Linked DNA regions of Sus scrofa. The protein of the gene in region 1 purifies or fractionates together with the protein of each later gene. This does not show direct contact. Links are inferred from orthologs where the notes say so. Each region holds a gene or a part of one and is shown on either strand. Other genes may lie near its edges.

Region 1 (4,293 bases):
CTCTGGACCAATTGGGGGGGGCGGCGCCGGGGGGGGGGGGGAGAATACAGATTTCCAAAGGGAAGGCAAAGATTACATTTTAGCACCTCACTCCTAGTCTGATCCAGAGCTCTGAATACAGTGACACTTCAGAGAATAAACAATCCTTTTTTCAGGGGGAGGACTTTTTAGTTTTTTCCAATAGTCTGTGAACTCGTGGGGGCTCATTTTTGTTTGTCCAACCTCGCCCGCGGTGCCACGTGGGCATTCACCGGTCCTCACAACCGGGGATACGGCACATCACTGCAGTGGCTGCCACTGTTTGTCGTTGTAAATAAAATACTACTTTCTGGAGGCAGCACTGATTCATTCCTTCTTATTTCTTTCCTCTGTAGTTGGAGGAGAGGTGTCTAAAAGGTGGAGGCAGCGGAAAGAGCGGGAGAAGGCCAGGGGAAAGTCTAGACAGGGTTTCCTTTCATTGTGTCCCTTCCTCCTCCCCCTCCCTCCCCCACTTTCCCCTTCTCGGGGGCAGACGATCCCCTATTGTAATTTACATATTCTTAAATTTGCATATTCTCCGGGGCCCAGAGAGGGTGGGGTTCAGCCCCCCACTCCTCAGCTAAGTTTACAGCTCCTAGTATTCCAAGCAGGGTGTTTTCAAGTCGCCAAAACGCGGAATTAACTACTCTCGGCCTCTCCCCTCCCGCTTTCCTCCTTGGGTTGGTTGGAAACTTCACCCAGACACCAAGAAGCTCCGCCCTGGTAGTTTTGAACCGGCCACTGGCTGAGGCCCCGCTGGGCACGCTCCCTCTCGAGGTCCCCCTGGCCCCGACTCTGCCCCCGGAGAGGTCGCCGGGAGCCCGCTTCCCCGGGGCCAGGCGGGGAGGGGTGGGCTCGCGCGGAGGGCAGGAGGGAGATGGTCTGGCAAGAGTTGGCACTCAGCGAGCCCTGGCCGCCCAGTCCCCCGGGGCGCCCGACTGGCCGGGGCCTGGGGGCGGTCGCCCCGGGACCGCCTTCGATTGTGTCCCCCTCCCCACTCCCGCCCGCGCGCCCTCTTCCCAGCTCCGCCCCGCCGGCTGGGAGGGGGGCGCAGCCCGCGGGAGACGCGCGGACCCCCACCCGCCCGGGCCGGCGGCAGCGCAGGCGGCTGCGGCCTAGGGCGCCCGGCGGCCGCCAGCCTCCTCCTCCCCCTCCCGGAAGCGCGGGGCGGGGTCCCCGGCCGGGCCGCGGGGGCGGGCGCGGGGGCCGGGCCGGGGCGGGGCGCGCTCGGCGCTCGCAGGCTCGGCCGGCTGTGCGCGCCCACTCCGGCTCCAGGCGGCCAGCGCACGGGCCCAGGCCGCCGGCTCCCAGCCGAGAGGCAGCAGCAGCCGCCGAAGCGGCAGCGGCGGCGGCAGGAGCGGAAGCAGCTCGCGGCGAGGCCCCGCGCCCCTGGCAGCCCCTCCCCGGCGCGGTGCATGGAGACGCGGCCCGCCGCCGGCCCCTGAGCCCGCCGCGCGGCCCGGGACCCGCGGGGGCTGGGGTGGCCTCGGGCTCCGGCCGGCCCACCGAAGCCGGACTCGGGCTTGGCCGGCCGCCCCCGCCGCCCGAGGGCTGCGCGCGGCCCGCGGGCCTCGTCGCCCGCGCGGATCGCCGCGGCCCGGCCGTCCCGTCCCAGGAAGTGGCTGTCCTGACCGCCATGGCTCACTCCCCGGTGCAGTCGGGCCTGCCCGGCATGCAGGTAGGCAGGAACCCGGCTGCCGAGGGCAGCGAGGGATGCCCGGGCCGGGGCGGAAGCGGGGAACTTGGCGGTGTAAACACGGCCCCCTCCCCCTCCGCTGCCCCTTCCGGGGTCGCGCCGGCCTCCCGCGCCGCGCTCGCAGCCCCCGGGGCGCCCCGAGCGGCCCCGCGGCCTGGGTCTCGGGGGCGGAAGGGTGCAGGGAGCTGGGGCCGCGGCCTGGAGGCGGCCCCGGCGGGCAGGGGGTCGAGGGGGCCGTGGGGGTGCCGGCGCTTCGCCCTGCCCGCGTCCTCTGCCCCCGGCGCCTCCCGAGCCGCAGGCCCCGCGCCGGCCCATCCCCGGGGAGAAGTGATGTGGGGAAATGCCCTTGGAGGCCCGGCTCGCTCTCTGGGCCCCGGCGCGGGCGGCGGGCGCTGGAGGCCCCGGGCCGCCCCGGCGAGGGGGCAGTAAAGTTGAGAGGCGGGAGGGGAGCCCCGGGCGCGCCCCGACTGGTCCGGGGCCCGCGGGGCGGCGGAGGCAGGGCGGGGTGGAGGAAGGTGTAACTGCCAGCTCCACTTCCAGCGCGTTTGTTCGGCGCGTTTCCTCCTGGTGCCGACGGAGGGGAAAGTGCGAGCCCGTAAACCTTCCGGAAGAAGGGATCCTTCGAACCCCGTGCCCTCGAGGGTGGATCCCGGCACGCTGGGCTTTGCCTTGGATGCAGCCCAGTCCCTTCCCAGTAAACCTCTCCGATGCTACTTGGTGGCTCCTTGGCCTTCCAGTGACTTTTTTTGGAGTGGGGGCAGGGGTGCGGGGGGTGGGGGCGGGGAGAGAAGTTGCATTTCCAATTTACAGGACTGCGTGCAAGTTTTTCGCCATGGGGGACTGTTTAAAAACTCTTTGAAAAATAAAACCCCCGTCCTTGGCCAGTTTGTAATGTTTGTAAGGGCATATAAATGGTGGGAGAATGGTTGGGATTAAAATCTCACTATACGGTTAGGGTATGTGGGTAAAGTTTTGCATTCCCGGTTTAGCCAAGCGAGTTGGGACACACCAGCTTTAAGGAAACAGCCACAAGTCTCCCAGCGGATTATTTATCTTGAGACTTTCTACGGGCTCGTTTTCCTCTCTCCCCCTCACTCTTGAGGCCTGAGAAGTTAGTACCTGGACTCCATAGGACCTGGGAATCTGCCCCCCTTTTGGCGAGAGATCATTGCTCTTTCTCTCTCTTAAACCAGAAAAAGAAAACTCGATTTCATTGTTCGCGATTGCTGGCTAGAAAAATAAGGGCACAAAGTTACCAGCATTTTAGAGTTTTGTTTTTTTTTTTTTTAAATGGAGTAACAGTTTACGTTAATAACCTGACTGTGCTTGAGGAAAACTGTCCTTGACTCTGATTTAAAGAATTTTTCAATGCAACGTGCATTTACCACCTAAGCTTCTACTGACTGCTAGGTAAAAATCGGATGTGGTTTCTTGGTATTTCCTAAAATTCCTGCTTTTGTTGGTTTGAATTTAGAGGCAGGAAGGCAAACTGAACTGGGTGAAAAATTATTTCTGACCAGCAGAGCAAGAAGGACCTCTTGTAACATTAAAAAAAAAAAAAAAAAAAAAGCATTTGCTCAATGCTTTCTTTAGACTGACTCTTAGGCTGTTAATCAGGTTGTAATCTAGCTCGCACGCCTCACTCAAAGTACCTGGGGGGTGTTCGGCTTTTGTGGAAAGCGAACCAGTTTAAAAAGGAACTTAAGGCCCAGCTGGCTGGTGCCCTGAAGCCAGCATCAGATGGTCACCAGGTGGTCTGTGGTCTTAAACACTTTTTTGGTCCTCATCTTGTTTTCAAAGCATGGGCCCACATTCTTAAATCTGGGGGAAAAAAAGGAGGTACCTTGCTTTAAATAACTCTGTCTCCCAAATGTTATTTCCTAGGTAGCGTTACCAGGGAACTGTTTTTATTTTGCTTTCTCAGAAAAGCTGTTAAGTTTTTATGTGGATGAAAGAACCAGATTTTCGGCTGTTAGAGTTTTAGGGGCGCGAAGGTGGCGTCTGACCGAGTTCGCCCTGTGTTTAGAAGTGTCTGCACACACTGTAAGGTGATGGGTTTTGGTGCCCTTGGGGGAGGAACATTCCTTTCCTCTCCCTCCCTTAAACTTCAAAAGGAAAACAACAGGCACATTGAGTTTCTACTTTGAACCAGCGGCTGCTCCTGCCCAGGGAGGCCGTCCTGAGAGGTGTCGCGGAGGGTTTAAGGAAATGCGCACCTGCCTGGGCTGGCCCTCTAGGCTGAAACTGGAGGAAAGAAGGACCCTGTGCCCTGTCCTGGTCCATCCTGTCTTCCTCCTCTTTTCTTCTCGTCTCCTCCTGACCAGGGTTTATAGATTGTTGGCTTAAAAAACTGCAGAAAGACAGCAGAGTGAGTTCGGGCAGCCTAGAAAGAAACCTGAATGAAAGAAGATCAATTCAAACAGCATCTTTCTCTGTCTTGCCAATCATTTTTATGCCTCACCTTTCTAGCCAATAGCTCTTGAGGCACAGGTATTATCTGTGCCTTTTTCTAGGTGTGGAAGCCATCGGAGATGTCCTCGAACAGAGCCAGGGGAGGTAGTGTGTTAAGTGGCAGATTT
Region 2 (3,532 bases), on another chromosome or scaffold:
GGTACTTTCCAACCAGAGACTCACCTGTTGTATTTGGACAATCAAACTCTCTGGACAAAGTAGAATTGAGTAGCTTATTTAGCCTTGCTGGAAATGAGTCGAAATACTTAACCACTGGAAAAATAAGGTAACAGTGAAAATCTTGCAAATTTTATATCCTTTTATTTTTTGCCAAGTGATTTTTTTTTAATAGGTTATCATCTTCTGACTTTTTAAAAGACTTTTAAAAAGACTGTTTTTCGTGCATTCGCTAATAGTTTTACATCAAGGCTTAAAGTCACAGGACCTGGGGGTCTGTTGTATAGAGCTTCTGACAGTAAGAGAGGCTCACACTTCTGATGTGAGTTTGCCACAGTGACTTTAAGTCTTGCCTTGAGTGTGTCACAGTGCAACTGAAATCATGGTCAATTTTCTGTTCTCCAGATTGCTGATTCCAGGGATGATTTAAGGAGGTTTGATAGTTCGGGAAATAATCCTGCATTTTCAGCAACTGTTAATAATCCAAGAATGCCAGTGTCACAAGAGGTAAGTGCCCCTTCTCCCTCCAAAATGGGACAAAGGATTGTTGTGGAATTGACTTCACAAATCTCTCAATATGCCATCACGAAGTTACTTTAAAAACCCTCACTGGGAAATGAACAGGATTAGGGTAGAAGCATTCATGAGGAAATCAAGTTTAGAAACTTTGCTCTTTGGATAACAGCTTGAAATAATCACATAGAAAAGCATTACTTGGTTTTCCTTATATTTAAATGCTGAAAAAATTTTGATTCCAAAATTGGGGGTGTTTCTTTTCCATTTGTTTTCATTAGTTTATGCCAAAACTGAAACTAATGGAACTTCTGTCCTCTTCTATTTTAAAATGAAACATTGACTTTCATTCGAGAACCATTTTGGAAAACCGAAGTTTAAAAATCTCACTTCTAGTTTTACTTTAACTTGCCATATCATGCATTGCGTTTCAGTGAGAGATTTTCCTTTAAAAACAAAGCAGAATGGAGTTCCCATAATGGCACAGTGGTTAACAAATCCGACTGGGAGTCAGGAGGTTGCAGGTTCGATCCCTGCCTCGCTCAGTGGGTTGAGGATCCGGTGTTGCCATGAGCTGTGTGGTGTAGGCCACAGACACAGCTCCGATCCTGTGTTGCTGTGGCTCTGATGTAGGCCAGTGGCTGCAGCTCCGATTAGACCCCTAGCCTGGGAACCTCCATATGCCACCAGAGCAGCCCTGGAAAAGGCAAAAAGACAAAAAAATAAAATAAATAAATGAAAATAAAGCAGAATGTCAAAGAGTCAAGATTCTAATCAAGTTGATTAACCTCTTGAAATTAACTTACAGGATTGATTAAATAAATTCCAAGAGAGGGGTGGCCCAGCGTGGTACTTCTGGGTGAACAGAAACAATAAAACTACCTCTTACCCAGTAGTGATTTTGTGAGGATACACATTTTTATTGTTGTTGTTTTTCTTTTTTAGGGCCACACCCGCAGCATATGAGTTTCAAGGCTAGGGGTCAAATTGGAGCTACAGCTGCCAGCCTACACCCCAGCCACAGCAACTCAGGATCTGAGCCGTATCTGTGACCTACACCGCAGCTCATAGCAACCCGGGATTCTTAACCCACTGCACGAGGCCAGAGGTGGGAATGCAGATCCTCATGGATACTAGTGGATTTGTTTCTGCTGAGCCACCCCAGGAACTCCCAGGATGCACATTTTCTAAGAGGCATGTGGTAACTTGTGCTTTGCTCACCAAGCCTTGTCGATGGTAGTTCACATCCTGCTCTCATCCACTCCCCGGCAGCTGACACAGACCTGATGGGGGGTGGGGAGGAGTGCAGAGGGCAGTATTATAAAGTGAGCGTGCTGAGACTTTAAATTGTCCATCTTTGTCGGATCACCAGCCGGCCCTGGTCCCCGCCGCCTCTGCTTCCTTAGTTTCGGTCCTGATTATTTACATGTGGAGCTATGTGTGTTGGGAGGAATTGTGGCAGGGCCGTGGTCTCGAATAAAAAATACATAACCTGAGGATCTGTGAAGAAGAGCATGACCCCTCTCGGGCTCATTCTGTATTACGTCTGCTTACCCCACCCCTGGGGAACCGTTTAGAAGCACAGCGAAAGCATAATTTGGAGAGTGTGGAGCGTGACTAAGGAGGGGATCTGGGGTCCGTACTGTGAATTCCAGCCAGAAAGTATTTTTTCCGGAGCTGCCTCTGAGCTGTAATTCACAACACATTTCTTGGGGCTCCAGGATCCCTCGTGAGGATTCTTTGTGGAATAGTCCTTGGGAAGGGGCACAATGAGCCACTCTCTGTCCACAGGGCCCCGTCACTTTCCTATATAAAAATATTGACTCAGTGAGTGGCTGCTGTTGTGTAATGTCTAATGGAGACAGTTTTGTACCTTTCTCTGCCACATGGCCATATTGGGTTGTGACAATAAGGTACTGTCCATGAAAAATAGTACTGAAAGTAGGATAAGCCTGGAACAACTTTGTTTTAAAAAGGGGCCTTTCACACTTCTGGGCTCTTAAAAAAGAACCATGGAGTGGTTTGATGTGGGTATTACAATAAGGGGCTGCCTGTTCTTTGCCCCCTCAACACATTCCGAGGACTAGCCTTTGGTGAATACATGTTTTTCTCAGAACCTGCCAGCAGAGGGCGAAATAATACTCTTGGCATTCGGGAGCCTTCTGGAAACTTCACAAGCTCCTGTCTTTTCTATCCTTCTGATAAACTCAGTGAGCCTTTCTTGGTTAGATGCCCAGTTTCTTCTGTTATCAGGAAGTAATTCCCTTTAGAAGTCAGGGTTTTCTGTGTTAACTGAAATCACTTTCTCCTGAGTGGCCAGCAAGGGGTCTATTAAGTAAAATGTTAGCCAGCCTTCTACATTAAAAAAAAAAGTATACATAAATACATAGTATCTATATTAATAAATGTTTTCTTCTTATGAAAATGCAGATTGAACCCCCTAAAGCAAATGCAGATGGAACCCCCTAAAGCAGAAGTTCTTATCTTTGGTTGCATAATGAATCCTCCTTTTTTTTCCCCCTTATCCTCAGTGGCTGGACCACATGAGGTCCTAATGTAATTGGTCTGAGGTGCAGCCTTGACCCTGGGGTTTTTAAAAGCTTCCTGCTGATTGTTACATGCAGCCCGAGCTTAGAGCCCTGTCTCTAACACCTACCTCTGAGCTGTCTTTACCCTTCCTCTTTCGCATGGAATTCTTTCCTCTTCACCTGTAACAGGTCCAAGTCCTTAAAGAACCATTGCCATAGCCTCTTCCCTTCCCTGTTTTCTTTTCCTTCTCCCTGCTGCCCATTTAGAGAGCTGAGATTATAGTATCCTCTTCTCTTCCCCCGAATGCTCAATATTGAGTTAATAGCTCTGATGTGACAATATTTCTTTGATGCTAAATGACTAAATCTTCTTTTAGGGGTGATGTCTTTCTGTGCCAACCAGAGATGTTTTTTGAGCTTTATACTCACAGTATTGAGAGTAATCCTTACATGTTTAATAAAGGGAACTTTTG

Evidence for each region.
Region 2: the proteins of STK24 (region 1) and CTTNBP2 purify together in Homo sapiens (affinity purification with mass spectrometry; 3 studies listed by BioGRID and IntAct, with this or other methods). This does not show direct contact. The link is inferred for Sus scrofa from reciprocal best matches to the Homo sapiens genes STK24 and CTTNBP2.

Annotation. Positions count from the first base shown.
Region 1 is NC_010453.5:67,562,592-67,566,884, reverse strand, and holds the start of STK24 (serine/threonine-protein kinase 24), read left to right. Parts: upstream 1-1,242; 5' UTR 1,243-1,654; coding exon 1,655-1,696; intron 1,697-4,293. UniProt on the Homo sapiens protein: Serine/threonine-protein kinase that acts on both serine and threonine residues and promotes apoptosis in response to stress stimuli and caspase activation.
Region 2 is NC_010460.4:28,567,107-28,570,638, forward strand, and holds part of CTTNBP2 (cortactin-binding protein 2), read left to right. Parts: intron 1-423; coding exon 424-525; intron 526-3,532. UniProt on the Homo sapiens protein: Regulates the dendritic spine distribution of CTTN/cortactin in hippocampal neurons, and thus controls dendritic spinogenesis and dendritic spine maintenance.